Linked DNA regions of Oryctolagus cuniculus. The protein of the gene in region 1 purifies or fractionates together with the protein of each later gene. This does not show direct contact. Links are inferred from orthologs where the notes say so. Each region holds a gene or a part of one and is shown in the gene's direction. Other genes may lie near its edges. The genes, in order: SMAD3, HIF1A, RNF111, SMURF1, RUNX3, TRIM33 and FOXO3.

What was found.
Region 2: the proteins of SMAD3 (region 1) and HIF1A purify together in Homo sapiens (affinity purification with western blotting; 4 studies listed by BioGRID and IntAct, with this or other methods). This does not show direct contact. The link is inferred for Oryctolagus cuniculus from reciprocal best matches to the Homo sapiens genes SMAD3 and HIF1A.
Region 3: the proteins of SMAD3 (region 1) and RNF111 purify together in Homo sapiens (affinity purification with western blotting; 5 studies listed by BioGRID). This does not show direct contact. The link is inferred for Oryctolagus cuniculus from reciprocal best matches to the Homo sapiens genes SMAD3 and RNF111.
Region 4: the proteins of SMAD3 (region 1) and SMURF1 purify together in Homo sapiens (affinity purification with western blotting; 3 studies listed by BioGRID). This does not show direct contact. The link is inferred for Oryctolagus cuniculus from reciprocal best matches to the Homo sapiens genes SMAD3 and SMURF1.
Region 5: the proteins of SMAD3 (region 1) and RUNX3 purify together in Homo sapiens (affinity purification with western blotting; 3 studies listed by BioGRID). This does not show direct contact. The link is inferred for Oryctolagus cuniculus from reciprocal best matches to the Homo sapiens genes SMAD3 and RUNX3.
Region 6: the proteins of SMAD3 (region 1) and TRIM33 purify together in Homo sapiens (affinity purification with western blotting; 7 studies listed by BioGRID and IntAct, with this or other methods). This does not show direct contact. The link is inferred for Oryctolagus cuniculus from reciprocal best matches to the Homo sapiens genes SMAD3 and TRIM33.
Region 7: the proteins of SMAD3 (region 1) and FOXO3 purify together in Homo sapiens (affinity purification with western blotting; 3 studies listed by BioGRID and IntAct, with this or other methods). This does not show direct contact. The link is inferred for Oryctolagus cuniculus from reciprocal best matches to the Homo sapiens genes SMAD3 and FOXO3.

Annotation. Positions count from the first base shown.
Region 1 is NC_091443.1:89,967,373-89,970,588, forward strand, and holds part of SMAD3 (mothers against decapentaplegic homolog 3), read left to right. Parts: intron 1-1,694; coding exon 1,695-1,818; 3' UTR 1,819-3,216. UniProt on the Homo sapiens protein: Receptor-regulated SMAD (R-SMAD) that is an intracellular signal transducer and transcriptional modulator activated by TGF-beta (transforming growth factor) and activin type 1 receptor kinases.
Region 2 is NC_091451.1:8,816,812-8,820,951, reverse strand, and holds the start of HIF1A (hypoxia-inducible factor 1-alpha), read left to right. Parts: upstream 1-1,302; 5' UTR 1,303-1,401; coding exon 1,402-1,436; intron 1,437-4,140.
Region 3 is NC_091443.1:81,933,419-81,937,007, forward strand, and holds part of RNF111 (E3 ubiquitin-protein ligase Arkadia), read left to right. Parts: intron 1-1,122; coding exon 1,123-1,442; intron 1,443-3,589. UniProt on the Homo sapiens protein: E3 ubiquitin-protein ligase. Required for mesoderm patterning during embryonic development. Acts as an enhancer of the transcriptional responses of the SMAD2/SMAD3 effectors, which are activated downstream of BMP.
Region 4 is NC_091450.1:41,405,023-41,409,164, reverse strand, and holds the start of SMURF1 (E3 ubiquitin-protein ligase SMURF1), read left to right. Parts: upstream 1-1,290; 5' UTR 1,291-1,623; coding exon 1,624-1,678; intron 1,679-2,335; exon of another isoform or gene 2,336-2,615; coding exon of another isoform or gene 2,616-2,643; intron 2,644-2,668; exon of another isoform or gene 2,669-4,142. UniProt on the Homo sapiens protein: E3 ubiquitin-protein ligase that acts as a negative regulator of BMP signaling pathway. Mediates ubiquitination and degradation of SMAD1 and SMAD5, 2 receptor-regulated SMADs specific for the BMP pathway.
Region 5 is NC_091438.1:146,263,841-146,267,954, forward strand, and holds the start of RUNX3 (runt-related transcription factor 3), read left to right. Parts: upstream 1-1,288; 5' UTR 1,289-2,002; coding exon 2,003-2,060; intron 2,061-4,114. UniProt on the Homo sapiens protein: Forms the heterodimeric complex core-binding factor (CBF) with CBFB.
Region 6 is NC_091438.1:55,852,195-55,856,354, forward strand, and holds the start of TRIM33 (E3 ubiquitin-protein ligase TRIM33), read left to right. Parts: upstream 1-1,273; 5' UTR 1,274-1,388; coding exon 1,389-1,914; intron 1,915-4,160. UniProt on the Homo sapiens protein: Acts as an E3 ubiquitin-protein ligase. Promotes SMAD4 ubiquitination, nuclear exclusion and degradation via the ubiquitin proteasome pathway. According to PubMed:16751102, does not promote a decrease in the level of endogenous SMAD4.
Region 7 is NC_091436.1:62,844,043-62,848,277, reverse strand, and holds the start of FOXO3 (forkhead box protein O3), read left to right. Parts: upstream 1-1,426; 5' UTR 1,427-1,640; intron 1,641-2,677; 5' UTR 2,678-2,781; coding exon 2,782-3,408; intron 3,409-4,235. UniProt on the Homo sapiens protein: Transcriptional activator that recognizes and binds to the DNA sequence 5'-[AG]TAAA[TC]A-3' and regulates different processes, such as apoptosis and autophagy.

The DNA of each region.
Region 1 (3,216 bases):
CAGAGCCCAGGTGAACAAGAGTGCCCCTGGGCAGCAGGGCCGTGGGCCCCTCCCGCCCCCCTCCCGGCCTGTGCCTGCGGCAGACGCTGCGGTACCCGCACGTCAGCTGGAGCCAGCGCCGTGCGAGTTACTCTCCCCTTCATTTTTCCAGATGTTTGGACTCCCATTTTGTTTTGCAGTCACTCTGCACCCAGGCCAAACCCATTTCAGTGTTGGCGCGGGGCCACCGTTCATAATGAGATCCAGATGAGCGTGACTTATGGAAAGTCGGATTCTCATTAGAGGCTTTCGCCCCGCACGGTCGTCCTCCTCGTGTTTGGGCTGCCGTGCTCGGGGCTGCCCCGCGGGGCTGGGGAGCGCAGTGGCGTGGTCTCCGGGGTCTTGCTGAAACCCAGCACCGGTGATCCGTGGAGCCGGCATGGCGGTCAGACCTCAGAACTGGCGGCCGTCTTCTGACGGCTGCAGAGATTAGCCCAGGCCCAGCGGGCCAGCCGGGAAGCACCCAAACTGACCTTTTAGCCCTGGCACGGACCAGGTAGGGAACAAGAGTGGAAGATTAGCGTTAGTTTTTTTTTTTTTTTTTTTTTTTGGAGAAGACAGGGAAAGGGAAATACTTAAAGGCGGCCCTCCGTGGAGAAGAGCCAGGGGAAGTCCATTTGCTCACTCTTCTCACACCCGGACTGTAGCCCAAGGGGCCACGCATGGTCCCTTCCATCAGGTGGACCCCTGCAGGGCCGTCAGCGGGCAGGGGTGCTTAGGCCAGGCCAGGCAGGCAGTGCCCGGCCCAGTGCGGCGTTGCGGCCGTCCAGCCCTGCGTGCCCCAAGGGGCTCCTCGGCGGCAGACGCCCTCCCCGGCAGGCCGCCGGGCCAGCACACGCCGTGCTCGCAGCCCACCGCGTCACCGCCGCCTGGCAGTGCCGCACGGCAGCCCGACGGGCAGGCGCGGCCCCTTCCCGGAAGAGTCTTGCCGCCCTCCTGCGTCTCGGGCCAAGGGGAGTAGGGTTTCAGCCCTTGTCTGTGCGAGGAGGCCGAGGGCAGGGCCCAGGCCCGCTGCTCTCACCTCCAGCTGGCACGGGCCACCGCGGCCTCAGCAGATAGCCTCGGGGAGCCGGCCTGCGGGCTGCGTCATCCGCCAGCCTGAATTGAGACGGAGTGCTTTGGGGTGCGCCTCGGTTTTTTCCAGTAATTGTTCCATGGCTCGCTCTGCTCGGAAGATTTTCCAAAATAAGGCCGTAGATGGGAATTGTATCAGCACATGGGGAGCGGAAGGCATGTGCGCTGTCGGTGCGTTGCTCGGAACGCCCCTCCGCCAGACAGACACGCATCACCACGGCGGGCCGGGCCGGGCCGGGCCTGTGTCTGGAGCCGCTGGTGCCCACCTGGGACACACAGGAGCTGGCCTGGAGGGCTTCCACTGCGGGGCCTTGGGGGTGCCCTGGCCTTGACTTCACATTTACCTCTTTCGGGCCACCTCCCTCCCCCCATTCCCCGGCTCGGGATCTGCTCAGGGACCTTGGCCCTGCTAGTTTCAGCGGATGGTTGGGACCTCCTCTAGGGCAGCATGGAGCCAGGTTACGGTGTAGCTGGCTTTGGGGGGGAAGACTGTCACAGAGGAGGGTGTTGTGACTTGCCTGTGTTTCCTCCTGGACGTTTTTAAACGTCCCCTACCTGCAACCCTGCCTTGTTTCTTGCAGGAGACAGACAGTGACCAGCACCCCCTGCTGGATCGAGCTGCACCTGAATGGGCCTTTGCAGTGGCTGGACAAGGTCCTCACCCAGATGGGCTCCCCCAGCATCCGCTGTTCCAGTGTGTCCTAGAGGTGTGGGCGGGGAGGGGGAGGGGCTGCGCTGGGGCAGTGACCGTGAGGAGGGCGCGAATATTCGAACTCTGATCCATTGATTATTGTCAAGGAAGAAGGACTTTTTCTCCCTCCGGTGGCACCAGCCTGTTTTCTAAAACAGAGGTGAGCACAGGAGCAGCACTTCCGAAGGGCTGCGTCTGCTGAACGCACCGACTGCCCTTTGGCCCTGCTTCGAGGACGAGGATGGTGTCTGCTCTGGGGGCCTGGAGTGAGTGGGTGGGATTTCACCACCTGCCCCTCCCCTGCCGCTTCCTTCTCTTCATGATAGCAACGTGGGATGTCCCGGCTCAACAGGAGGTGCCCCCTCTGTCTGGGACCGCTGTGTCAAGTTCACCTCCGAAGGATGTTCTAGGTAGGGGGCAAAGCCTGCCTGGCCACGGGCAGACTTCCTGCCTCTTCTCCGGGGCTCCCAGCCAAGCCTCCTGTCCTGCAGGCCCTGTGCCTTGAGAGGCTGGACGGGCAGGGGGCTTGGGCAGCTCCATCCACTCTCAGAGCATACTGATGGCTGTGTGTTCAGCACTGCACACGTGACAGTGGCGAAAGCGCCACCTCCTCTTTCAAAACTCTTAAAATGTGTCCTTTCTCACTTCGAAAAGTTGGAAGGATCTGCTGAGGCCCCGTGCGAACGCAATGTATGGTTTCTATTATCGCATCAGTCTCAAAGAGATTCGAACGACGTCAGGTGTTCACACGCAGCAGGAGGCAGGTGGCGTGTGGGCTGCGGCGGCCCCGGACTGTGTCTCCCGCCTTTAAGAGCGTGCACTGGTTCATGCAGTCCATCGTGTTAATTAAATCAACTTTATTGTATGCTCTTTTAAATGTCTGCTCCGGATTAGGAAAAACACGACACGACACCCTGGGTTGACGCATTACTGGGAGCTAAGAGAGGGCTCCTCCAACAACCGTCCCAAGGTGAAGTGTTTCCCGGCTTCCCAAGGAGGCAGCCGCCAGCGTTTCTGGAAGCTGACACTTCCGGGAGCAAACATGCCGGAAGGGGAACCTCGCAGGCCCACGGGCCGGTGCGAAGGCCGCGCACAGTGGTTCTGCGCCTTTGGAGACTGCAGGCGGCCCTGGTGATGACACTGGCAGCTACGCCGGGTGAGCCCACGAGCACAAACTATTTCAACTGGAAAAAGGGGCCCTCTTCTTTCACGGGCCTTTTGCAGAATACAGCAGACGGAATCGTCACCTGCAATTGGTACTTTCTTCTTTGCTGCTGGTTTTTTTTTTTTTTTTTTTTGGATGAAATGACGTATCTCACCTTTTTTGCATGGACTTATACCAGGAAAAGTAAAGGGATTTCCTATGGAAGTCCTGTCTTACTCCAGGAAGTGCGTGTTTGGGCAGGTTCTGA
Region 2 (4,140 bases), on another chromosome or scaffold:
TGGCTCTTTGTGGAGCTCAAAATATGTTTTTTTTTTTTTTAAAGACTTGAGAGGCTTGAAATGTATGGTTCTAAAGACAAAAAAGTGCTTAAGTTTTGTTCCGTAACTCGCAGTCCTGTCAGCAAACAGGCAGTGCTAGCCAGCACCGTCGTGCCCGGTTCCTTCCAACCCGGCGGGCTCTGGCCCATGCCCCGGAGGCAGCCTGGGTTCCGGACTCGGTCTACACCGCGAACGCAACTCAAGGAGACTCTTCTGAATCCACGCAAGATCGTCTTGCAAAAGCGCTAAGAAAGCACAAAGAAAAGTGTGCCTAAAGCCATTTTTCCGACCCTCCCTGAAATGCAGGTTTATATATTCTCGCTTCTGAAAGCCGTTTCTACAGTAACTTCACACCTTCCTTCCTCGGAGAGAGGCGTGCAACAACGGGTCTGTGAGGTTTTCCCTGGCATTAACTTAAACAAGTTCGCGACAGAACGCCTCAGGGGCCCCGCGGGGTCCCCCGTGCCGTGCGGCAGAGCGCGGGCAGCCTGGCAGGAAGGCCGCGCCGCAACGCGTCCGAGCGGGGAGACCCGGGGGGCTCGCGCCCAAGCCGCCAGGGCTGCGCTTTCCCACAGGGAACTCGGCTACGCCGCCTGAGGGGAGCGCGGGAGCGGGAAAACGTGATGCAACCTCGGGCCCGGGCAGCCGCCAACTCCCCTCAGCAGCGCCTCCCGCAAGCCCGCCGCCGCCGTCCCCAGCGGCAGGCGCTGGGTGCCCCCTAGTCCCGGCGCAGACGCACCCCCCAACGCCTTTCTCTCCGCCCCGGCCGCACACAGACGGGCACGTGAGCGCCGCGGCGCGTCCCAGCTGTGCCTCAGCTGAGCGCCTCCGGATTGGCTGAGAGCGACGTGGGCTGGGGTGGGCACTGGCCGCCTGCGTCGCTCGCCATTGGCTCCCGAGCAGCCCGCCTCCCCCTCAGGTGAGGCGGGCCTGCGGGGGCGCGCGCGCGCGCGCTGGGCTCGGCGGGCAGGCGAGGGGCGGGGGCGCGCGCTCCCGCCCCGCCCCTCCCCTCCCCGCGCGGCCGGGCGCGCCTCCGCCCTTGCCCGCCCCCTGCCCGCTGCCTCAGCTCCGCCGAGCGCAGAGCCGCCTCGTCTGAGGGGACGCGAGGACCGTCCTCGCTGCCGAGTGGGCCCAGCGCGTCGGGCCGGGCCGTGACAAGCAGCCTGCGCGGAGGCTCGCGCCGGACTCCGCGCTCGCCGCCCCGCTCTGCTCTGCGAGGAGCTTCCCGCCTCGCACCCCTCCCCCGCCGCCGCCCCCACCCGGACTTGCTCTGCTCTCTCCGCGTGTGCAGGGAGCCGGCGCTTAGGCCGGAGCGAGCCTGGGGGCCGCCGGCCGGGAAGGCATCGCGGAGACCGAATCGCCATGGAGGGCGCCGGCGGCGCGAACGACAAGAAAAAGTAAGCCCCTTCCCCGCCCGCCCGCCCGCCGGGCCGCGGCGCTCCCGGGGTGGGTCGCTGGGCGGGCGGGGGTCGCCCGGCCTTTTTTTTTGTTGTTTCTGCCTCCTCTCCCCTCCCCTCTCTTTCCCCCAACCTCGCCGGCCGGGCTCCCCCGCTGTCCACGTCGCCATCTTGTCGTGGGGGGTGGGAGACGCCTCGAAAGTGCTTCCAGGGGGCCGGGGGTCTGCACGCCGCCGCCGCCGCCGCCCCCAGCCGGGGCTGCGGGGGTCCTCGCGCCGCCCCCCGCGCCCGCCGCGGAGCCCCAGCCTTGCGGCGCGGCCCCGTCCGGAGGGGACTTCGCCCCAGCCTGGAAGCCGAGCCCGCAGCTCGGCGCCGCCGCTCGCACCCGGAGCTTCCGCTCCCTCCCGGTGGCGGGGAAGGCGCGGGCCGGGCGCCCCGCACGCTGGCCGCGGCTCGCCGGCGGGTGCGGGGCCCCGGCGGCCGCGGCTGGGCTGGCCCTTGCGGCGGTCCCGCCGCGGCGGGTGTCGCTGCCTTTGTGCCGTGGTGGGGGGATTGGCCGCGGCGGCCTTCGGATGCTAACTTTTTAGTTTGCACGTGCAGGTTTTGTTTTTCGTTTTGTTGTTTTAATCGGCTGGAAAAACTTGCCCAGACTTGGGAGTCGGAGTAACGGGAATTGGGGGGCACATCGCCAGGCTGTAGCGGGAACTTGGGAAGTGGAGACTTGGGATCCAGGGAGCCCAGACGATGAGCAGGAATCCGTGCCTCATTCATTCCCGAAAATATCTTGGTGAAAATGTAACGGGCGGCTTCGATTTAGGCAGACAGTGTCAGTGAGGTTGAAAAGCGAAGTAGATGACCGGAGCAAACGAAATGCAACACTAAAGTGTTGGAGGATTTTTTTTTTTTCAGAACTGTCTCGTTTTCCTGATATTTTAATATATTTGAAGGAAACCATCAGCACATATCCAGATTGTGTTGGGACTTAAAGCAAGTTTATTGAACAGCGTGAAGTGTAAGAGGGGTACATTATAGAAAGATTAAGAATGGTGGAACCCGTGGTATTTACAGTACCCCCCTCCCTATTTTCTCCACTTTGGTATTTTCACCGTTGAGGAAATTATTTTAAGGAATTGAGGATTTATATAGTAGGAGTAGTAACGTAGGCTGGCTTTACTGTTAAGTCCTTCCACTCTTATGGGAGAGATTAACTTCTCTAATCAGTATGAGCGGAAGATAAACTTGTTTATATCCTTGCTGTTTTGTAGATTCTTTATCTTGGTCCCTATTCAATAGAATGTAAAATTCTCAGTTTATATACACCGGGGAGAGAGCACTTACACAATTTAAAACATGAGCACACAAGTCTAGATTTAATTTCAAGAGTTAACCAGGAATTAATTGCAATTAATTTTGCAGAAGTGATTACAGTGTTTTTGATGAAATGAAGAGGCTGCTATATTGTAAACCAAAGGCAGATTACCTCTGTGTAGTGCCAATTTTCCGTCCTTATTATATACTGAATCATAGTTACCACAATGCATTAGGTTGTGTACCAGTCACTTCCTTTTTATATGTAATACTTTACTGATTTCTTCTTTGCTATTCTTCAGTTAATACCAGAAGCCACTGTAAAATAAGTGAGTGAATAAATTAGCAACTACTGCGCACCAGCCCCAGCGCTAAATGAATTCTTTGGTTTTCCCCATTCCCATTGTTATTTTCAAAATTTTCTCATTTGAAAACTTAACCACCTGGGATCGAATGTAGTCGTAACACTTAATATGGAGATTCTTAATATAACTGAAATTTTAAGTTAAACAGTAAATAGTGATTACTCAGCAACTTTTGGATGATGTTAATTAAAAATGCCCTTTCCTGACTAATATTTCTTCAAGTTTTTGAAAGGTAACAGATTGAGGTGGAGATTTTCTTCTTGGAATTTTCCCAGTTTTAGAGGAGGACAAGGCAGCTGAAAATCAGAATTGAAAGAAATCAGAGCAGAGTGGTGTGGTTGTAATAGATTTAACAGGGAGTTTCATGTTGATTCCTTAGTTGTAGGTGCTGGACTTACTGAGAGCACAAGGATAATAGGGGTTTTTAGATTCAAAAGGAATGGCAGGAGGTTCTGTTTTTAGGCTTCAGGTCAGGTTCCTTCAGAGTTTTCCAAAACAAATAATTACTGGAGCATTGTAGTGAAATCTCTGAGAATAAACATTTCTAAATTTTCTTTTTTAACCTTGGCCACTAAGAGTCATTTATTAGTAAACTTTTGTTGTTGCAGTTTGACTTGTTTATAACAGCAGCAGGGCTAGAGATGAAGAGTGTAGAAGCTGGAGGCCTGAATCTCTGAGTTAGAGTGCCAGCCTTTCCACTTGTGAATTGGGCAAGTCCTGAATGCGTCCATGCCTAACTTTTCCTTTTGATGATAAGAAGCAGCCATCTTAACAGTTAATATGTATGGGAAATGAGATCATGCATGTAGAACACTTAGCCCAGGGTCGGGAATGGGGGAGTCTTGGTAACAGTTTGTGTACTTCCTAGTAAATGTTACCTGTTTAAGCTTTAAGTTTGAACTTCCACCACCCTTAAAATGCTTTTTGTAAGTTCTTCCAAATATTTCTTTCAGTTTCTCTTCTGTCTTCATGCATCTTTTCTGTATCTCCAAAAAATGAAAAAACTAACATTCAATTTGGATCTTGAAAAG
Region 3 (3,589 bases), about 8.0 Mb from region 1:
GACTTGGGCCATCCTCCACTGCTTTCCCAGGCCATAGCAGAGAGCTGGATTGGAAGAGGAGCAGCCAGGACTATAACCGGCGCCCATATGGGATGCCAGTGCTTCAGGCCAGGGCTTTAACTCGCTGTGCCACAACGCTGGCTCCAGTATTATTGTTTTTAAGGTTAAAATTTTAGCTGTGTTAGCAAGAAAGGTATTCTTCAGTTTGCACAAACAACTCAATTTAAAAATTGACAAAGGACAGGGCCGGTGCTGTGGCCCGGGAGAGAGTGGAGGATGGCCCAAATGCTTGGGCCCCTGCACCCGCATAGGAGACCAGGAAGCAGCACCTGGCTCCTGGCTTCGGATCGGCGTGGCGTGCCAGCCGTAGCGTCCATTTAGGGAGTGAACAAATGGAAGAAGACCTTTTTCTCTGTCTCTCTCACTAACTCTGTCATATAAATAAATTTAAAAAAAACCATAATGGAAGATCTTGTGATATTTTGCAATTTTTAAAATCAATTTTTGTTGGTACCTAATAATTTGTGATGGGAAAGATAATCACCATTACACATTCTGGTAAATATGAGCCTTTTGAAAAATTTAGACTTTGAGGAAAATCCCAGTAAATACAACTACTCAAAATTATGTATAGGTTAAGAATGTGCTGTTAGTATCACATTCTTATTTACACAGACTTGATTTTATTAAACATTTCTTTTTTTTTTTTTTTTTTTTAAGATTTATTTATTTATATGAAAGTCAGAGTTACAGAGAGAGAGAGAGAGGTCTTCCATCCGCTGGTGTACTCCCCAATTAGTCACAATAGCTGGAGCTGCGCTGATCCAAAGCCAGGGCCAAAAGCTTCTTCCGGGTTTCCCATGAGGGTGCAGGGGCCTAAGGACTTGTGCCATCTTCTACTGCTTTCCCAGGGCATAGCAGAGAGCTGGATCGGAAATGGAGCAGCTGGGACTTGAACCGGCACCCATATGGGATGCTGGCACTGCAGGCAGTGGCTTTATGCACTATGCCACAGCACTGGACCCTAAACATTTCTTAATTCTCTGTTTATTTACTGACAGTTTTATAGAGATCTTTGATGATCTAATTATTTGCCTTTTTTTTTTTTTTTCCTGTTTCAAGATGACTCAAGGAGAACTGCTTCTAGTTCTGTAACGGAAACTGGCCCTCCTGCTATGCCGAGATTACCTTCCTGCTGTCCTCAACACTCACCATGTGGAGGATCATCACAGAATCACCATGCATTAGGACATCCACACACAAGTTGCTTTCAGCAGCATGGTCATCATTTTCAACATCACCACCACCACCATCATACTCCCCACCCAGCTGTTCCAGTTTCTCCTTCTTTTGCTGATCCTACTTGCCCTGTGGAAAGACCTCCACAAGTACAAGCACCTTGTGGAACAAATAGTAGCTCTGGTACCAGCTACCATGACCAGGTATGGGAATTTGAGGAGAGTCAGTTATTCTTCTCTCCCCTTCTCCTTTAATTGTGATAACTTATGGGAACCAGGGTGGGTTGCCAGTGATAAATTTTATTAAGTCTTCAAGATTTTCAGATGGTCTAAATTATTGCAGTTCATTGATGAATTCAGAAATTTGGAAAATCAGGGATGCCACCTAATCTAAAAGTGACTTTTTTATTCTGGAATGAATCTTGGTGTTTTCGGTTAATATTATAGGATTATAGGTGATTCTGATCTTTGGGATGTTATTTTAAACAAAATGTTGAATCTACGGTGTTAGTCTAATTCAGAGAAACTGAAAAATTATCAGTTTTTCCCTTCTAACTCCTACTTGGAGTTCACTATAACTTCCACTTATCTAGAAATATGCGACCTTCATGGATGCAAAACTGAGGCATAGCTTTTCAGGAGCAGATAAGGTTTTCAATTTATGGAGAATTGAAATGTCAGCAAAAAAATTATAAATAAATAAGTTAGTTGATATTGGTGAGTAATAAGATGCCAATAATATTAAATTAGCAATCATGATCATGCTGAGTAACTTTTTGATATGTTGTTCTGTTTATAATCATGATATAAGCCTGAGTGTTATATACCTTCAAAATCAAAAGATGTAATTTCAGGGACAAATTGTAACTTTGACATATGTACTAGAAAAGAATCCTGGAAAAAAGTCAGAATGAAAATTCAGAACATGTGCTCTTCTGTATCACCTGACCTTTCCTGAAGTTCTTGTTTTATCTTTTAACATTTTGGCGGTTATCTCTTCTGGATCAGACAAATTGAAAATAAGAAAGAGGGGTGTTTCCTTAAATGCAAAGTTTGCTATTATCAAGAGCAAATTTGAAAGGATTTAGTAGAAAATATGGTTAAAAAGATTTTAGATGTTATTTTGGTTCTGGGAATACCTTTAGGTATTATCTGTATTTTTTCTACCTCTTGGAAATGAATTAACATCAAAGAAAACTTACATGAACTGAATGAAAGGCTCTGCTTAAATGTAATACATCCTTTTACTCCATATTTATAGTGAAAGGGGACTTTGTAAAGATAGTAGGAAAACGGTGGAGAAGTAGGTCTCCTAGCTCCTCCTACATTCATTAAAGAGCTTCCAAAAGCTTGGCCTGTGACTCATAGGATATTCTGTTGTATTAATAAAATAATGCAGCAGGTTTTAAGAGATCAGTTGAACATATATTTTTTCAACCCAAATCATTAATTATAGATAAAATCTCTTAAAGTTTTTTTTTTTTTTTTTTTTTTAATTTATCTGAAAGGCAGAGTTAGAGGGACAGAAAGAGATCTTTCTTCTATCCATTGGTTTACTCCCCAAATGGTTGCAAACCAAAGCCTGGAACTCATCCTGGCCTCCCACATGGGTGGCAGAGGCCCAAGCCATCTTCTGCTGCTTTCCTAGGTGCTTTAACAGGGAGTGGAGCAGCCAGGACTCAAACTGACACTCATATGGGATGCCATCATTGCAGGTGGTGGTTTAATCTGCTGTGCCATAGCACTGGCTCCCCTTATATAAGCTCTGTTTGTTGTAAAATGAATATAACCATTTCCCCATCTATAATTAGAGGCATTTGGACTTTAAACAAAATTTGAGAACAGTGAGATCCTAGGCATTCAGTATTGGTAATGGGCATGAAGATGAATATAAAGTGAGATTTTTTTTTTGAAGATTTATTTTATTTATTTGAAAGAGTTAGAAAGGTTGAGCTAGAGAGAGAAAGAGGTCAGTCTTCCATCCACTGGTTCGCTCCCCAAATGTTTGCGACGGCCAGAGCTAAGCTGATCCAAAGGCAGAAGCCAGGAGTTTCTTCCAGGTTTCCTACATGGGTGCAGGGGCCCAGGGACTTGGGCCATCTTCTGCTTTCCCAGAAGAGAGTTGGATCGGAAATGGAGCAGCTGCGACTCGAACTGGTGCCCACATGGGATGCCAGCCCTTCAGGCTGGGGCTTTAACGCACTGTGCCACAGCACCTGCCTCTAGAGTAAGATTTTGAAGATAACAGTTTGAGATTCAAATAGATGTCTGGCCGGTGCCGCGGCTCACTAGGCTAATCCTCCGCCTGTGGCGCCGGCATCCCGGGTTCTAGTCTCGGTTGGGGTGCCGGA
Region 4 (4,142 bases), on another chromosome or scaffold:
CTAGGTCAAGGTCTTCTCCCTTCTGAGATGGCCCCCTAGCTCTCTCCTCCAGCAGGACGGTTCTATCATGTGTGTCTTAGCCTTCTGCACACACGCCTATCACCAGCTCCTCATCAGCTGATCTGGATCGCCCAGGGAACTGAGCCTCTGGGATGCTGAAACGTGATGGATTTCTTTTGTGTCTTGTTCCCAGGCACACAGTAGGTGGCCCAAGGTGCTCTCGGCAGGTGCGTGTAAGCGGTTAAGTGACAAGCGCAGCCACTTGTTAGTGAGAAGTGGTTTCCAGAGACCACCCGATGGGCGTGTTGAGGAAACCATCAATGGACAGGAGTGGGGTTGGGGGCACGCTGACCCGCCGGACATTAGAGTGGGGATCCCTGGAGACCCTAAAAGGTGTCTGCGAACGGGAACATGGCTGGGTCCTGGTCCCCTGCTTTGGACACAGCTTGGATTCCTGCACTTGTCACCAGGATCACTCACAGTCTCGGCTGCGCGGGGCCACAGGCACGGTCCAGGGCAGGTGCCGAGCCCGGAGCCCTTGCGTCCAGCCCGGGAGCGAGCCAGCCAGCCAGGCAGGCGCGTGCAGGTGCTCCCGGCCTCCCCGAGGGGCGCGACCTCAGCAAAGGCCCAGGGCCCGCGCTGCTGGGCACCCGGACGCGATCCAGGCCTGGTGGCAAATTCGTGCACAGGAGGCGGGTCAAAAACAGGAGAGAAAAAAAAACAAAGCCTGCTTTTCCTCGGGACAAAATCGTGTGTCCTCCCCCCGGACGCGGTAACGGCCGGAGAACAGGCTAAGGATTCCTTAGTGGAATCGGCCACTCGGGAAGCAAGGGGAGAAGGCGGCCCCGGGGCCGCTGCGGTGTCTGGGCAGACCGTGGGCACAGTCCACCCCTCTCCTGTCCCCACGCGCGGCGCCGGCCACTCCGCGATGGGGCCACGGGGCGCAGACGCCGCCTCCGCGCCAAGTCTCTCCCCCGGCCTCTCCCAACAAACCGGGTCGCCAGCCCGCGGCTCTCAACAGCTCGTCAGGAGGACGGAGCCCGGAGCGCGACACCCGGGGACGCCCCTTCTCCCCACCTCAGCGTCCGCATCCGCAGATCCCCTCGGGCGCCGCGGGAGCAGGAAGAAGCGAGAAGCCCCCGGCCCACGGGCTGCAGGCCCGGCGCGCGCCCGAGGAGCGAGCGGGCTGGCGGCGGCGGCGTGCCCCGCCCCCGACGTACCGCGGGCGCGCGCACGCACACAGGCGCGGGGGCGCACGGCGGCGGGCGCGCGCAGGGCCGGGCCCGCACGGCGGCGGGCGCGCGCGCGGCTCCGGGAGGCGGCGGCGGCGGCGGAAGCGGCGAGGGCGGCAGGCGTCCGGCTCCGAGGTGGTGGAGGCGGCGGCGGCGGCGACTCAGGACTGGGCTCGGTGGGAGCCACGAGGGTCCGGGCGCCGGGGCGAGCGCCGATCCCCTGGGCTCCGCCGCCCGGACGCCTGGGCCGCGGAGTTTGTGTCCCGGCTCGGACCCCGGCGCCCAGCCCGGAGCCGTAACCTTGAGGCGGCGGCGGCGGCGGGGCCGGGCCGGGCCGGGTCGGGGGGCGGCGGCGGCGCTGGATCCGCGGCTGCCCGATCGTCGGCGGGAGATGTCGAACCCCGGGACGCGCAGAAGCGGCTCCAGCATCAAGATCCGTCTGACAGGTAGGGCGGGCGGGAGGCCCACCCGCGCCGCGGGCGCCCCCTCGGGCCCCCGGAGCCCCCTCGGGGGCGCCCTCCCCCACGCCGGCCGTTGTCCCAGGACCTCGTCTCCCCCCGCCCCCCCGGCGTGCGCCCCTCGCCGCTCCCGGCCGGCCCCGCCCCCTCGCCGCGGCCCGGCCCCGCCCCCTCCGCGCGCCCCCCGACTCCCCGGGCCCCGCGCCCGCCGGGCTCGGCGCCCCCGGCGTCTGCCCCCACCTGTCCCCTCGCCGCCCACCCCCGGCCCGGCCGCAGCCCGGCCTTTCTGTCCCTGTCCCCTGGCCCCCAGCGCCCGTTTCTCGCCCCCTCCTCCACCTTCTCTCCCCTCCTCCCCCTCCCCCTGGATCCCAGCCCCTTCCTCACCCCCCCACCGCCTGCCTTCTCCCCCGGTCCCGCCCCCCGCCCCGCATTTTGTGCTGGCCCCGCCCCCTCGCTGGGGTCTCCCGGCCTCCACCCTTTTCTTCCTGGAGCCTCGGGTCCTCAGCCGGGTCCCCCGGTTCTTTCTCACTTCCCGCCAGGTCCTGCGACGGCGGCCGTCTGCCCGGGCCGCGGCCTGCGCCCGCCTAGGTCCCCCCCCCCCGCCCCGGTTCCGCTGCATTGCACTTGACCCCCGCTGCCCGCGCGCCCACCCGGCCGCGGCGCGGGCTCCGCCGTTCCTCCCGCTGTGTCCTCGCCCGGCGGCGGCGGCTCGGGGGGCGCGGGGGCGTGGACGCCTCCCTCCGTCGCCGGCCCCCGGCGTCTGTCCGCACCCTGCGGGGCTTCCCGGACCCCGGCCCTGCGGAGTGGGGTCCCCGCCGGCGTGGGCCCGCGGGTCTCTGTGCGAGGACCCCCGGGTCGGGGCTCAGGGGTCGGAACGCCCGCTTTTGAGGCCCAGCTGTCGTCGGTCAAATCCGCGAAAACGACAATGGGTGATTTTTCTTCCCCCCTCAAAAGTCAGTTTTACTTTGAAAAGTTCAGAGTGGTTGGCACTAGCCCTCTTTCTGGTTTGAGTTTAGAAACATTCGCACAGCGGCGTAAGATCAGGGAACGGTTAGGCCCAACGCTGACCCTGGCTCTGTGGACAAGCAGGTGCACCCGCCGGCGCGGGGGGCGAGAGGGAGCACCTGTCCCGCGTGGAGGCAGCGCGCACCTTGCCACCTCGGTGGTGGCAGACAGTCGCAGTCCCTGGCCACTCCCGCTTGGTTCTGGTCTGCAACGTGATCTGCCATTGGCATCGCAGTGGTTCGTTCTGTTAAACAGCAGAGGGATTGATTTGGGGAGTTGGGTGGAGATGGTGTTTCAGAGGCAGGTGTGTCAGGTGCGCGTGTGTGAATCCGGCCGGGCCGGGACCCTGGTTTCTCCTCCCAGGCTGTGGCTGGGCTCAGGAACGAGGCGTGCCACGTACAGACGTGCTCCGGGGCGGCGTTGGTGGGTGGGGGCTCTCGGGAACACCGGGTGTCCAGCGGTTTGAGTGTGGTCTCCCTCGCAGCAGAAGGGTGTAGTGGTGCTGGTCATCTTCCTAGCCTTACCTTGGGTGGAAATGCTGGAACTTGGTGTTTAGTTGAAGATGGAATAGATTTTGGTCTGGTCTTTATGGTTTTCAGGGGAATTTGAAATCTTGCTAATGGCATTTGTGGATAACAATGATCTTTCAAAGAGTTGAGTAATTAAGTTATGGGTTTCAAAGATCTCATTTCCGTGTTTGATATTTGAACATAATGACTTTTCACAATGGAGGGTATTCTAACCAGTCTGCGAGTGCCACACAGAGTGCAATTCATTGGAAAGACAAGGAAGACGCTGGAACTAGAAGGGAGCATTTGGAACGGTTGGGCCCACAGCCGTATCTGGTGGTGACTAGAGCCTTGGACTCCGAGCGGGGGAATGTGTGGTTGGAGACAGGGAACACTTTCACCTCCCTGGGCCCGCGAGGCTCCGGCCATTGGGACGTCCTTCATCTCCTTTTCACAGGCTCTGTCAGTCTGTCTACTGATTTCACGTCGTGGTTGGGCATGTATCCTTTCTGTTCGCAATCCTGGTATTCAGAAATCCGTGTTCCAGCATGGCACTTGAGTCTGATTTATGCCTCCCATTCATATTATGTATTGTTTATGAGTGTTTTTTCCTGTGGGACTTTTTTTTAACAACAAAAAACACTTGTGGGTAATATGCTGAACTGCTCTGGAAATCTGGTCTAGACAGAAGAATGTCCTTTTTAAAAATGGAAATAAAAATGTTTGTTTTCATCCCCCTTGAAAAGTGGAGAGGAAGGGAGTGAGAGAGGGAGAGATGGCGCTGATGCACTTTCCCGAGTGCCTGCAACAGCTCGGGATGGGCTAGGCTGAAGCCTGGAGCCGCCTCCCCAGCAGGGGCCCGGCTGCCTCCCAGGATGAATGAGCAGGGAGTTGGGGTGGAAGTGGAGTGGCCCAGACTTGAACTGGCGCTCTGATGC
Region 5 (4,114 bases), on another chromosome or scaffold:
CACCCGCCCCGTCAACCAAGGTGTTATCCCTGTTTTACAGGAAAGGAAACCGAGACGAGGAGGAGGGAAGTGACTCGCTCCAAGGCCTCGAGGCTCGGATTGAGCGGAGCTGGGGCTGGAGCCCAAATCAGACTCCAGAGCCCTGTGGTTTTCACCACAAACCTGCTTCCTCCCCGGCCGAATTAGAACCCCCTGCCCCCGCCCCAGCACCAGGAGCCACCCCCAGTGGAGGGCTTCTCATTCGTTCGCCACAAGCGGGGCTCTGTGACCTCGGACAAGCCCCCTGCTCCTCCCCATACCCCCCCGCTCCTGTTTGGCCTACAGAGGCCATCGTGTGTCCAAGGGTGGAGGGCTGGTGCTGGGAGGGGCCGGGGTGGTGCCCAGGCTGCAGGGGGCACTTCCCGAAGTCTCGGACGTGAGCTGCAACGTCACGGCTGGCCAGTGGGAGGCTGGCGTTCCAATCCAGCCCCATGTGACCTTAGCCCAGCCGACCGCACCTCCCTGGGCCTCAGTGCCTCAGCCTGTGAAATGGGAGAGTAGAGCTCACCAGGGAAACGGAAAAAGCCCTCTCTGTCCTCCCCAGCCCCCAGCCCCAAGCCTTAGCTGGCCCCGGGCACACAGTGTGCACGGCTGAGCAGCCGCCCTCCACTCTCCTACTCCTGAGCCGCTGTGAGCCGGGACGATTCTGGGATGTGAAAGATTCAGCCGGAGGCACTGGGCAAGGAGGCGAGGAGACCCCCGGGCATTGGGGTGGTGCCAAGGACCCTGGGGCGGCTCAGGTGGGCTCAGGTGGGCCGGACTGACAAGCCGGGGCCTCAGAGCCCTGCTCAGGCCTGGCCTCCTGGCACCACTGCGCCACCGCCTTCGCAGGCGGGGCTTCTGCCGGGCACGAGGGCTGGCGGTGCCGCCTCATGTGTTTCCCATTTGTACGTAATCCCAGCTCCCATAAAACCCCCTGAAGTGCCACTGAGCCACACATGTGGCCGCCTCTGCCTGGCCGAGGCGGTGCAGGACAATGGCAGGGTGTGAGCCCCGCGCCCGCGGCGGCACCCGGCTCCCGGCGCCCGGTGAGGGGCCGGCGGGGCTCCCGGCCCGCCCAGGCCAACGCTGGCCTTAATTAAGAAGGAGTCTCCCACACTGGGTCCAAACCGCCGCCCCGGCCGCCCCCACTCCAACCGCTTTCAGTTCTGCTTCTGGGCCGCGTGCTGAGGCCAGTCCCACAAATAAAAGCCACTGCCTGCCTCTCTCTCTCCCTCTCTCTCTCTCTGTCTCCTCTCTCTCTCTCCAAAAGGCAGAGAAAGGCAGCCACAAGATCTTCTAAGAGGCCATGACGTCACGGCCCAGGTGACCGCGCCCCAGCCAATGGGCCAAGGCCGCGAGCTGGCTGCTGGCATCCTGTGTGCCGGGCTTGGGTTGACACTGGGAAGGCCTGGTCCCTCGACCACAGAACCACAAGGCCAGGCCCTCGGCCGCCTCCAGGGCCCTGCGCGGGAGCTGGTTGGCTCCGGTCGTCCCCACCCCCCGGCCGCCCTCGCACCGGCTGGAGCCTGGGCTCCGTCGAGGGTAAGCCTCATTCATTCATTCCCCGTGGCGCTGGTGCGGGGCCTCGCTGCCTCCTCCGCCCTGGCTGCCGAGCGCCCCTTCCCGCCATCTAATGATACACTGCACACAACTGCTGTTGAGAATTTGTGGGTAGACATTCCTGTGGGACCAGGGATCCAGATTCTTGGGTACAAACAGAAACTCTGCTTTCCTGGGGGATTTTTTTTCTTCTCCTCTCTCTCTCTCTCTCTCTCTCTCTCGCTCACTCACACACACTCTCGCGTTCTTTCCTTTTTTCTTTTTCGTAGCAGCAGGGGGAAAAAAAGAGACAAAACAACAAAACAAACAACAAAACCAACACCCCCCCTTCATTCTCCAAAGTAGTCAGGAAAAAAAAACTCTAACAAGGCCAGCCCAGCCCGGCCCCAGCCGAGCCCCTGAAGCGGCTGCAGAGCGGGGCATGGCCTCCAACAGCATCTTCGACTCCTTCCCCGCCTACTCGCCGGCCTTCATCCGCGGTGAGTAACGCGTGCCCGGGCCCCGGCTGGCCCTCGCGGGTGGGGAGCCGCGGCCACCACCCAGACCCTGGCCCAAGGACGTGGCCTGGCTACCTGACCCTGCAAGCCTCGGGGAGCCTGCGGGGAAGAGGAGCCAGTGGCCTCCGTGGTCTCCCGGAGTGGGACTTCTATCCGCAGCCTGTGGGGACAGTGGGCCACGGGCAGCAGCTCCCCCAGCCAGCTCTTGGAGGGTGCAGGGTGGAGGGAGAGCCCGGCTTCCTGCTTCTCTCGTGGGGCTCTGGGGGCCCCGCAGCCCAGCCCCCAGCCTGCCGGAGTGTGGCCCCTGCACCTGGGCTCAGGCAGAGCCGTGGGAGGCAGGTGGAGGCCGGGCAGCACCGTGGGCCCCCGGCGGCCTTCCCTGGCGGCGTCCCCGGGTGAGGGGGGGCGGCAGGAGGAGGGGAGCTGCTGGATTCGGGGCAGAATTTGTGCCGCCTTGGCTTGCCTCGGGGGTGGGGGGCAGGCCTGGGGAGCCTTGTGAGCCCAGGCATGGGGGAGAGAGAGTGTTTCTTGGGGTGCTTGCATCCATCCGTGGCTTGGAGGGACCCTGAGGTCTGGGCTGTGTCCCCGATTCTCCACTTGGTTGAGGCTGGACCTCATAGGGGCCTCTTGCTGCCGGTCTGGCCCTCAGGGTGGATGGGCCTTGGCCTCAGGCAGCCTCCTAAGCCGCCTCTGTCGTCCCCAGCAGAAGCCCAGATGGGGCCTGAGCGTCCCCTGAGCTGAGTGTCCCACAGCACAGTAGCCACTTTGCTGAGCAACCATAGCAAATTCCTTAACCTCTCTGAGCCCTGAGTGAGGTCCTAAGGCTGAGGCTGGGCTGCAGACGGGGGCTGGGCTTTTGGGTTGCTCAAAGGGACCAGTTCTCTGCCAGATGAGAGTTGAAGGCTTTCTAGAACTCCTGGGCTCGGGAGCAGTGGCTGTCCTCCCTCCGCCGAGGTGGTCAACGGGGCACGGAAGCCGGCCCGACTGTCCGTCTGCACTTCTGTCCATCTGTCCCCCTGCTGCCGGCTCCCAGGGTGACTCAGAGGAAGCACTTGGCGGCCAGCTCTGGGCAGGGCCCGACGCCCATGTGGGTCTTTGTCGTCCAGAGGCTTCGCCGAGGCTGGGCTGGAGTAGGGGCCGGTGGGGTCTGGGCGGGCAGAGACTGAGGTGGGGGCGGGAGGCCGCCGTCCCCGACATGGGGGTGCTCCCACCAAACCTGGCTGGGGCTGGTGACAGGCGGCCCGTCTGGGACCGGGGCCGTGGGCTCCTGCCTTCAAGCTGCTGCTATTATACGTGTTCCCTTTGTAGTCCTCGGAGCTAATTAAAGGCAGTTCTGTGGCAAGAAAATAAGAGTTTATAAAAACCATTTGCTGCGTCTTTGTAATCTACGCTTCTCCCTCCGTGAGCACGATGGAGAAATGCAGGGTTTAAAACAAAGGAACCCTGGGAGATGGGGCTGAAGGGCTCCCGGGGCCACGGAGGTGGCACCAAAGGAGAGGGAGGGGCAGTCGGCTGCTCTGGCCCACGGCGCGCACAGCGGCCTGATCGCTGCCCCGCAGGTGCCTCAGGTGCAGAAGCCTGGGTGGCGGGGAGGTCTGGGTCTGGGTCTGGGTCTGGGTCTGGGTCTGGGTCTGGGTCTGGGGTCTGGGGACCGAGGGTTCCCTGTGCTTCCGCGGAACAGCTCCGTCCACCACGCTGAGCCCTCTCCTGCCCAGTTCTGCTCCCAAATCCCACCAGGTCCCAGCTGCCGGTTTTATCCCCAGAGAAGTCCAGCCTGAGGGTACACTCCGCAGGGCCCCAATTCTACACGCCCACCCAGGGTCCTCACCCCGCTGGGAGGTGAATCTAAAAGCCTTCAGACTTTGTACATCTTGGAGTCAAATTTTTAAATGCAAAAAAAAAAAAAAAAAAAAAAAACCCACAAAGGATTATAAAGAAAAGCACATCTGTGGGAATGCCATTATCAAACTCGGAAAGAAAGCGCTTCTATGATCCGGTGGCCATGTGTCCCTTCATAGGAGCTGCTTGGTGGTGGC
Region 6 (4,160 bases), on another chromosome or scaffold:
TCTGCAAGAGAGACTCCTTCATCTTATCAACAGGCCTCCCTCAATCTCTATTTTGCTCCAGTTGCTTTTTCTTCCTGGCATTTACCTCGCATGTTATCAGGGTACTTAAAATTTAAGTTCATGGAAAATGAAACTGCGACAGTTTAGTGCAAAAAATTTCCAATCCACACATGGTTTTCTCATAATACACATTTCTCAAGAGCTTTCTGAAGTACCCTCGTTTATTCCAAACCTTGCACCATTAGCTCGTGAACTCTTTTAAAGGCAGGGAGAGCCTCTTTTGCTCTCTGCTGTAATCGCAGGGTATCTAAAACACTGACACCTAATAGAGGCGAGTCTTCTGGAGTGAGTAAATAAACAAGGCTTGCACATGGTTTAGGGACTTAGACCAGCTCAAGAGATAAAGACCAAAGAAGTGCAAGCGTCTCACGCCCAAACAGCCACTGCTCTGCAGAAACACTTGTTTCCCAAATAAAAGGCCAACCCTTTCTGAAAGCTTCTACCTGGAGGGCATTTGTCACCGGGCTCACCCAGGACACTAAGTGGGACTCTCAGAGGCCACCACACTGGAGGTGAGATCTTGGCTCCGCAACCTGAGGCGCATCAGAATCAGCCCTCTGCCCCACTTCCGGACTCTGGGCTGAGGTGTGGCTTTTCAAAAAGCTCCTGAGGTGACCGGTTTTCGGCTACGTAGCAACGTCCCGGAATCACACTAAGTAGTGGAAATTAGCCGCACAGTGAGTCTCTTCCTCACCGGGTCTTTTCAGCCTATTTCTGGTAGACCTCCGGTTAAAAAAACCAAAGACTCGGCTTACTGCTCCCCTGAGCCACAAACAGCAGAAGGTGCCTCGCACAGCACCAAGAACCGCGAGGCCCTGGCGTCCGATCACGCTGCAGAAGCTTCGGAGGAGACGCTCGCTGGGGCAGCCACAGCCGCGGCCTCCGACCCGTCCAGCTTAGTCCGCCCCTCGTTCCGCACCACAGCTGAGGCCAAACTCAGCAGCACGATCCGCCAAAGGCCGACAGGTTGCCACGGCCTCTGGCTTTTAAAGGCTAGCGCCTGTTGCGCTAAAGGTCCGCGGCACTGACGCAACGCCCCAGCCCCAGACGTCTGGACGAGCGTCGCGGACGACTCCGCGCCCGCGCCCGCGCCCCGAGTTCCCGCCTCCCTCCAGAGGACGTCCGTGCGTACGTGCGCGCGCCGCGCCCGCCCTCTTCAGCCGCGCGACGCGAGGGCGGGGGCGCCGCGTGCGCGCGCGCTCTCGTTGGTTCGCTCGCCTGCTCGCTCTCGGCGGCCGTTCTCGCTGCGGCTGGGGCTGGGGGCGGCGGCGGCGGCGACGCGGGCGGCGGGCGGCGCGGGGCGGTCCGGCGGGTTCAAAGAGGAAAACATGGCGGAAAACAAAGGCGGCGGCGAGGCTGAGAGCGGCGGCGGGGGCAGCGGCAGCGCGCCGGTAACTGCCGGGGCCGCCGGGCCCGCGGCGCAGGAGGCGGAGCCGCCTCTCGCCGCGGTGCTGGTGGAGGAGGAGGAGGAGGAAGGCAGCAGGGCCGGCGCGGAGGGCGGCGCGGCCGGGCCCGACGACGGGGGGGTGGCCGCGGCCTCCTCGGGCTCGGCTCAGGCTGCCTCGGCTCCTGCAGCCTCAGTGGGCTCTGGAGCTCCCGGGGGGACCGTATCGACGCCGGCCCCAGCTCCAGCCTCAGCCCCTGCTCCGGGTCCCTCGGCGGGGCCGCCTCTTGGACCGCCAGCCTCGCTTCTGGACACCTGCGCCGTGTGTCAGCAGAGCCTGCAGAGCCGGCGTGAGGCGGAGCCCAAGCTGCTGCCCTGTCTTCACTCCTTCTGCCTGCGCTGCCTGCCGGAGCCGGAGCGCCAGCTCAGCGTGCCCATCCCGGGGGGCAGCAACGGCGACATCCAGCAAGGTGAGCCGGAGGCCCGGCCCGACGTCTGGGCCGCGGGGCATTTGCGGAGCCCAGGAGGATCTGGGGACCGAAGTGCTGGGGCTCGGGGCTGCCCGGACCTGCGCGATCCTGAGGGGTGGGCGAAGTGAAAGACACGGCCCCTGGGACAGTTTCCAGAGAAGCTGGACCGCGAGAGATAAGGAGGGGGATGAAGGGAGGGAGCCGGCTGTGAGACGGGGTTGGGGGGAGGGGACACAGCGAAGGAGGTTTGGGATGTGCAAGCTGGACCCGGACAGCAGAGCCAGCGTTCAGGGTGGACGGGCGCCCGGCCCGGGAGAGGTGGTGGTGGTGGTGGAGTAGGTAAAGAGAGGAGGGCTGTGAGGATGGATTGCACTGGAGGGAGGGGACGTGGCCCGTTGCCCGGTTTGGAGCAAAGAGGACTGCGGTTTAAATGCAAGCGGCTAAAAGACGTTGGGAAACTTGGAGCCAAGAGAAGGCTCTTGATGGAAAAGAATTTTAAGATGGCATTGGGAAGGAGCATCTCAGGAGATGAGAATAGCAGTGAGGGACCTGCATGGTTAGGGACAAGAGTAAGGTTTGGGGATGAGCAGAAATGAACTTGGACTGAGATTGAGGGTCAGATAGAGCTGGGCATGCATTTGTTTCAGTTCATTGTACATTAAGGAACCCCTAGCGTTCTGGGTGCTGCTGGGACTGGATGTGATGCTGGCTTAGGACCCCCTTCCCAGTCTTAACAGGGGAAACTGTAGCCTGCAGCAGTGGAGGTGGGCGCTCACTATCATGGCTGTGGCGAAATGGAGGGAAAGTCAGGGAAACTTCCCAGGAAAGGAAGGCCTGGAGCAGGTTTCCTGAAGGGTGATTGCCTGCCTCACTGGGTGGAGGGGATCGAGGGTACAAGGTGCGTCCACCTTGTGCAAGACCTCTGGTGGACAGTAGATTGCATTGATCAGCTGCGTGGATAAGGAGTTCCACATCCTTTTCCAGCAACTCTTGGGACAAGATGTGTTTTGGACTTCAGAATACAGTATTTGGGAATTTTTCTTGGTAAGGTCTTTTATGTACTATGTCTTTTATGTAGTACTCCAGCAGTGGTGGGATTCTGGAATAACAGTTCATTATTGAGCACTTGAAAGTTTCTTCATTGAATCACACGAATATCACAATAACGTGGTGGACTTTGTTGTAAACATGTGACAGAAGTGAAGTTTCTAAGCAGGTATGCAAATTTGGCACAGTACTGAGGGGTTGGGATGTGTCCTGTGCAGTGTCTCCTGTACAAGGCGTTCCCAAAGGACTTCTCTATCCAAAGGGTAAAGTCAGATTTGTGATCTACAAAGATCACCTGAAGTCGTTGAGAGATGAAAGAATGCAGGGAGGCCAGTTAGGGGAACCTTGGCAGCAACCTAGATTGGAAATTGTCATTTGGATTGGGTAGGAGAGGTCTGATGCCAGGCATTACAGAAGGAAGCATTTTGATGTCAGGGAGACATCAAAATGAGTTCAGGTGTCTTCTTCGCCACTTTCTACTTAGAACTTGGACAGATTAACTTTTCTTCACCTCAGTTTTCTCATTTGTGAACAGGGACAAAAAGTATATTGCTCATGGGATTATTGAGAAAATGAAGTGAAATAAGATATGTAAAGTGACTCATATACAGTAGTTACTAGTGAAATGGCTGCTAGTTTATTGTTAGTAATGGAGATGGAGGGGCTAACTGAGATTGGTGTGTAGACCGAGTTCTAGGTTTCTTGTTTGCTGACAGTGCTGTTAGTGCAAGCAAAGAATTCAGGCACAGAAGCAGGTGTCTGTAGTGGAGAGAGGATATAATACCTTCACTTCTGGGTTTGAGCTGTTATTGGGACATGCAGATAAGAATGTTAAGAAAAAAGATCTGTGTTTAATGGAGGAGACACTAAGTGGTAATAGGTGTAGAGAGGATAGCTGGTCGTGGTCCCATGAGCATAATAAGACACGTGGGATTCAGTGTCCTTGTGGGAACCTGGATTAGGTGAGCAATTTAGAGGGAACTCAAGATGCAAATTGTGTTGGTTGAGGAACTGAGGTTATGAAATTGGCTTTCTGAAATTTATGTATGAGAGAATATAGTCCCATACGTTCTCTTCATTTCTCCACCTTTGTTTTTGAGCTGGGAGAAGAAGTAAGTGGAAAGGACTAAATACTGTTGTTCTTAAGTGATGTTGATTTCTAGCCAGTATCTAAAACAATCTGGAAACTACCATGTTTT
Region 7 (4,235 bases), on another chromosome or scaffold:
GGCGCTCCCACGTGCCCCCTTCCCTCTTTAACGCTGCCATTGCGTCGTGCGCAGCAGTGGCTTCGGGGGGCCACCCTCTCTTTATCTCCGCACTTCTTAGAATTTTTACTCGATTGTTTATTATTTGCCGGGGGCGGGGGCAGGACGGATGGCGAGCCGAGAGGGGCGTCGGGGGGCCTGGAGACTGGCCCCCGCGGCCACTCAGCGCGCGGCGTGCCTTGACGAGTCAGCGGCGCAGCGAATGGCGACGCGGCGCAGCGCTCCGGGGTCACGCGCGTGTGGAGACGATGACATCATCTGTTTGTACGCGTCGAACTAGCTTGGCGCAGGGGCGGGGCCGCGCGTCACTTGAGTGACGGGCGCTGCGCAAAGCCCGGAGCCCGGAGCCGGCGGGGTGGGCGGACTCCGGCGGAACCCGGGCTGGACGTTCCCGTGCACCGGCTGGTGTGGCGGAGGCCGCAGCCACACAGCGAAACGCGGGCGCTCCGGCGACTGCAATTTTCCCAGCAAGCTATTTGTGAACCGAAGCGGACAGGCGTTTGGCGTGCATGTGGCGTGTTGTGCATTCTTAGGGCATAAACGAGCGATTTGGGGCAGGCATCACGGGATGAGGACTTGTGGAGGTATTCTGTTACGCCTAAAGCCAAAATAGACGTCAGAAGTGCGCAACTGGAAGTTTTGCCGTGAAATCAGAATAAAATTGCTCCCCCTTCTCGGTTGTTCGGAGGCTTCTCTTTCGTCGAGAACCGGGGGATAATTTGATTTTCTTCCTCAGTTAAAGCACCCCCCCCCCCCGTCTGCTATGAAATCCACGAAAAAGGGAGACGATTGTAGTTCAGCGTCCACACGGGGGGGGACCCAGGGCAAACCCTGGGAGCCTGATCGAATCGGACGCATCTATCAAAGTGTCGCAGACAGCAACGTCCACGCCGAGGCGACCCCGGCCCTCCGCGGTCAGCACCTTCTCTCGGATGTTACCTGGCGTCCGGTTCTAACGCTGCGGGATCCGACACCAGAGCCCGGCGGGAGGACGCGCGCGCAGGCCAGGGACCCCGCCACCCCACTCCCCACGGTGGCCGGGACTTCGCCCGGTTCTGCGGGGCGTCCGTGGCTCCGCGCGCCTTCCCCTCTCCCGCCTCAGGCGAGCCAACGCCGCGCTTTGTTGTCGCGGCGCCCGGCAGGGCCAGCGGCGGAAGCCCTCGGCTCCCCGGCCCGCGGAGCACGCGCGCGCACGCCCCGGCGCCCACGCGCAGGCGCGCGCGATCCCTCTCACACACACCCCCACACACGCGCGCGCGCGCGCGCACACGCCGGAGCGCCCGCGGCCCCCGCCCCGGCCCTCCCCCTGGGCGGGGACCCGTCCGCCCGCCCGCCGTCAGCCTAGGTTGAGGCTCCCTGCGTGTGTCTATAACTTTGTGCTGCTGCCGCGGCCGCCCTGCTCGTGGAAGGGAGGAGGAGGAATGTGGAAGGCGGCGGCGGCGGCTGCGGCGCGCAGGCTGACAGGCGGTTCCTCGGGCGGGCTGCGGCGGCGGCCCGAGCGCCTCTCCTTCGCCCGGGTGGCGCGCCCCCTCCTCGCCGTGCCCCGGGCCCGCGCGGGATTGTGCGTCCTCCCGCCTCGTCCCTGAAGGGAAGGAACCGAGGTAGGCGCCGGAGCTGTGCAGCGGGGCGGCCGCCTTCCCGGTGACTCCGGATCTGCTTCCGAGCGGGGCCAGGCGCTTCCCGTTTTCCCCTCGGTGTGCGCGCCCCCCTTCGCTCCCGCTAGTGTTTTTTAAAGGACTTGAGGGAAGGGGGGAAACTGTCAAGATGGCAGCAGCGGGAGCAAGGAGGTGATGAACGCGCTGGCCCGAGCTTTCTGGCCGCCCGGGAGACTTGGCGCTTCCCGACCTGTTGGAAGATTTACGCTGCGCCTCGCCCCCTCCCTGCGTCCCCGACCCGGGCAGCGGGCGGAGGGCACGGCGTCCCCCGGGAGAATAAACCACCCGAACCCCGAAGTGGCCGTTCCCGCCTGGCTGGACCCCCGGAGAGCACCCGCGGGTGTTGCCTGTCCCCCTTCTTTCCGTTTTTTTTTTTTTTTTACCCCCTATCTTGGAAGTGGCAAGGCCCGCCTGCGCCCAGACCCCGGCTCCCCCAGTCGCCCTCCCGGCCCCAGGGCGAAGAAGGGAGTAGGGGCTCGGGCCACGGGGCCGGGCGGGCGGCGGCAGGGAGTCGCGGAGGCGGCAGGGCAGGGGAACGGGAGCGGAGCGCGGAAGACGCCACAGACTTTGGCGGCGCCGCCGCCGCGGGAGGCACTTGAGCGGGGCCGGAGCGAAACATAAACAAACGCACGCCCGCTCCGGCTCCGACCGCGGCTCGGCTGCGCCAGCTCCGGCCGCGGCCCGCTTTAAAGGCGCGGCGCGCCCCTCCCCCGGCCCGGCCCCCGCCCCTCCCCCGCCCCGCCACCTAGCCCGGGAGAGACCCGCAGATCGGGCGGCGGCGGGGGAGGGGGCTGCCCCGTGCGCGGCCGGCCATTCGCTCGCGTCTCCCCAGCGGCCTGGCCAGGGGGCGGCGTCTGCTGCGCCAGGTTCGCGGGACGCACGTCTCCAGGTCTGCCTGTTCCCGGGTGGCGGGTGCGGCGGCGGCGGCGGGCTCCCGCCCGGGATAACCAACTCCCCCTCTGTCTCCTCTCGTGCTTCCTCAGGCGGCGGCGGCGGCGGCGCCCCGGCCCTCCCCCGCCGCACCCCGCCCCGGCGCGAGAGGAGAGCGCGAGAGCCCGAGCCGCGGGCGGGCGGGCGGGCGCCGAAGATGGCAGAGGCGCCGGCCTCCCCGGCCCCGCTCTCTCCGCTCGAAGTGGAGCTGGACCCGGAGTTCGAGCCCCAGAGCCGACCGCGTTCCTGCACTTGGCCCCTGCAGAGGCCGGAGCTCCAGGCGAGCCCGGCCAAGCCCTCGGGGGAGACGGCCGCCGACTCCATGATCCCCGAGGAGGACGACGATGAAGACGACGAGGACGGCGGCGGCCGGGCTGGCTCGGCCATGGCGATCGGCGGCGGCGGCGGCGGCGGGAGCGGCGCGCTGGGCTCCGGGCTGCTCCTGGAGGATTCGGCCCGCCTGCTGGCTGCCGGAGGGCAGGACCTCGGGCCCGGGCCAGCGCCCGCGGCGGGCGCGCTGAGCGGGGGGACGCAGACTCCGCTGCAGCCTCAGCAGCCGCTGCCACCGCTGCAGCCGGGGGCGGCTGGGGGCTCAGGGCAGCCGAGGAAATGCTCCTCGCGCCGGAACGCCTGGGGGAACCTGTCCTACGCCGATCTGATCACTCATGCCATCCAGAGCTCCCCGGACAAGCGGCTCACTCTGTCCCAGATCTATGAGTGGATGGTGCGCTGTGTGCCCTACTTCAAGGATAAGGGCGACAGCAACAGCTCCGCCGGTTGGAAGGTGCGTACCCACCCGGGGCTGGCGGCGGGATCCGCCGGGCTGAGGGCTTGGCCCCGGGGAGCCGCTGTACTGAGGCCCTGGGAGTTTTCTCAGACCGCCGCCTCCGGCGGAGGGGAACCCGCGCTCTGCCGCAGAGGGGACGCAGGAGGCTCCCGGGGAAGCCTCGGTCCCGGCGGGGTTGGGGCGGGGGCGGGAGTCGCGGGGCGGTTGGCGGAGGAGGGTCAGACGGGGAGTGCGCTTGCTGGATTCCAGGGACGACACGGAGAAGGTAGGTGCGCGGCCGGCTTCGGCGTGGAGTTCGCCGTAGTGGGGTGTAGGGGCGCAGGGGAACGTTTGCGACTTGGCGCGGGGATGCGTGGTTGCATGTGTGTGGGAACGCGCGGTGTATTTGTCACTAGTTGCCTGCGAACCCCAGGCTTGGAGGTGTTAACTCCCACGGACGCATCGATCCCATTAGAAGAAGTAGTGATTGCAGACCTTTGCCTGGTCGGCTCGCGTTGTCCGTGGGCGATGTCCCCTCTGAAATGTCGTGGGGCCTGGAACGGTCCGCATTGCCGCCTCAGCGCGGGGTGGGGTGGGGGGCCCCCGCACCTGCGGCTCCCGCGCAGGCCCCGAGCTCCAGGTGCCTGCGATTCACCTAAGCTGTGGGGCGGGAGGAGGGTTTGGTGGCAGGGCTGGGCCATAATGGCTTCTACCTATAACCGAACCTGAAGAGAGGCTTCCTACTGCTCCTTTTCTGCCTCTCGGGGCACCGGACACGTGGTAAGGAGAGGTGTGGAAAGGCCTATGATGTAATGACTTCCTGCAGTTAGGCATCCGAAGAGATT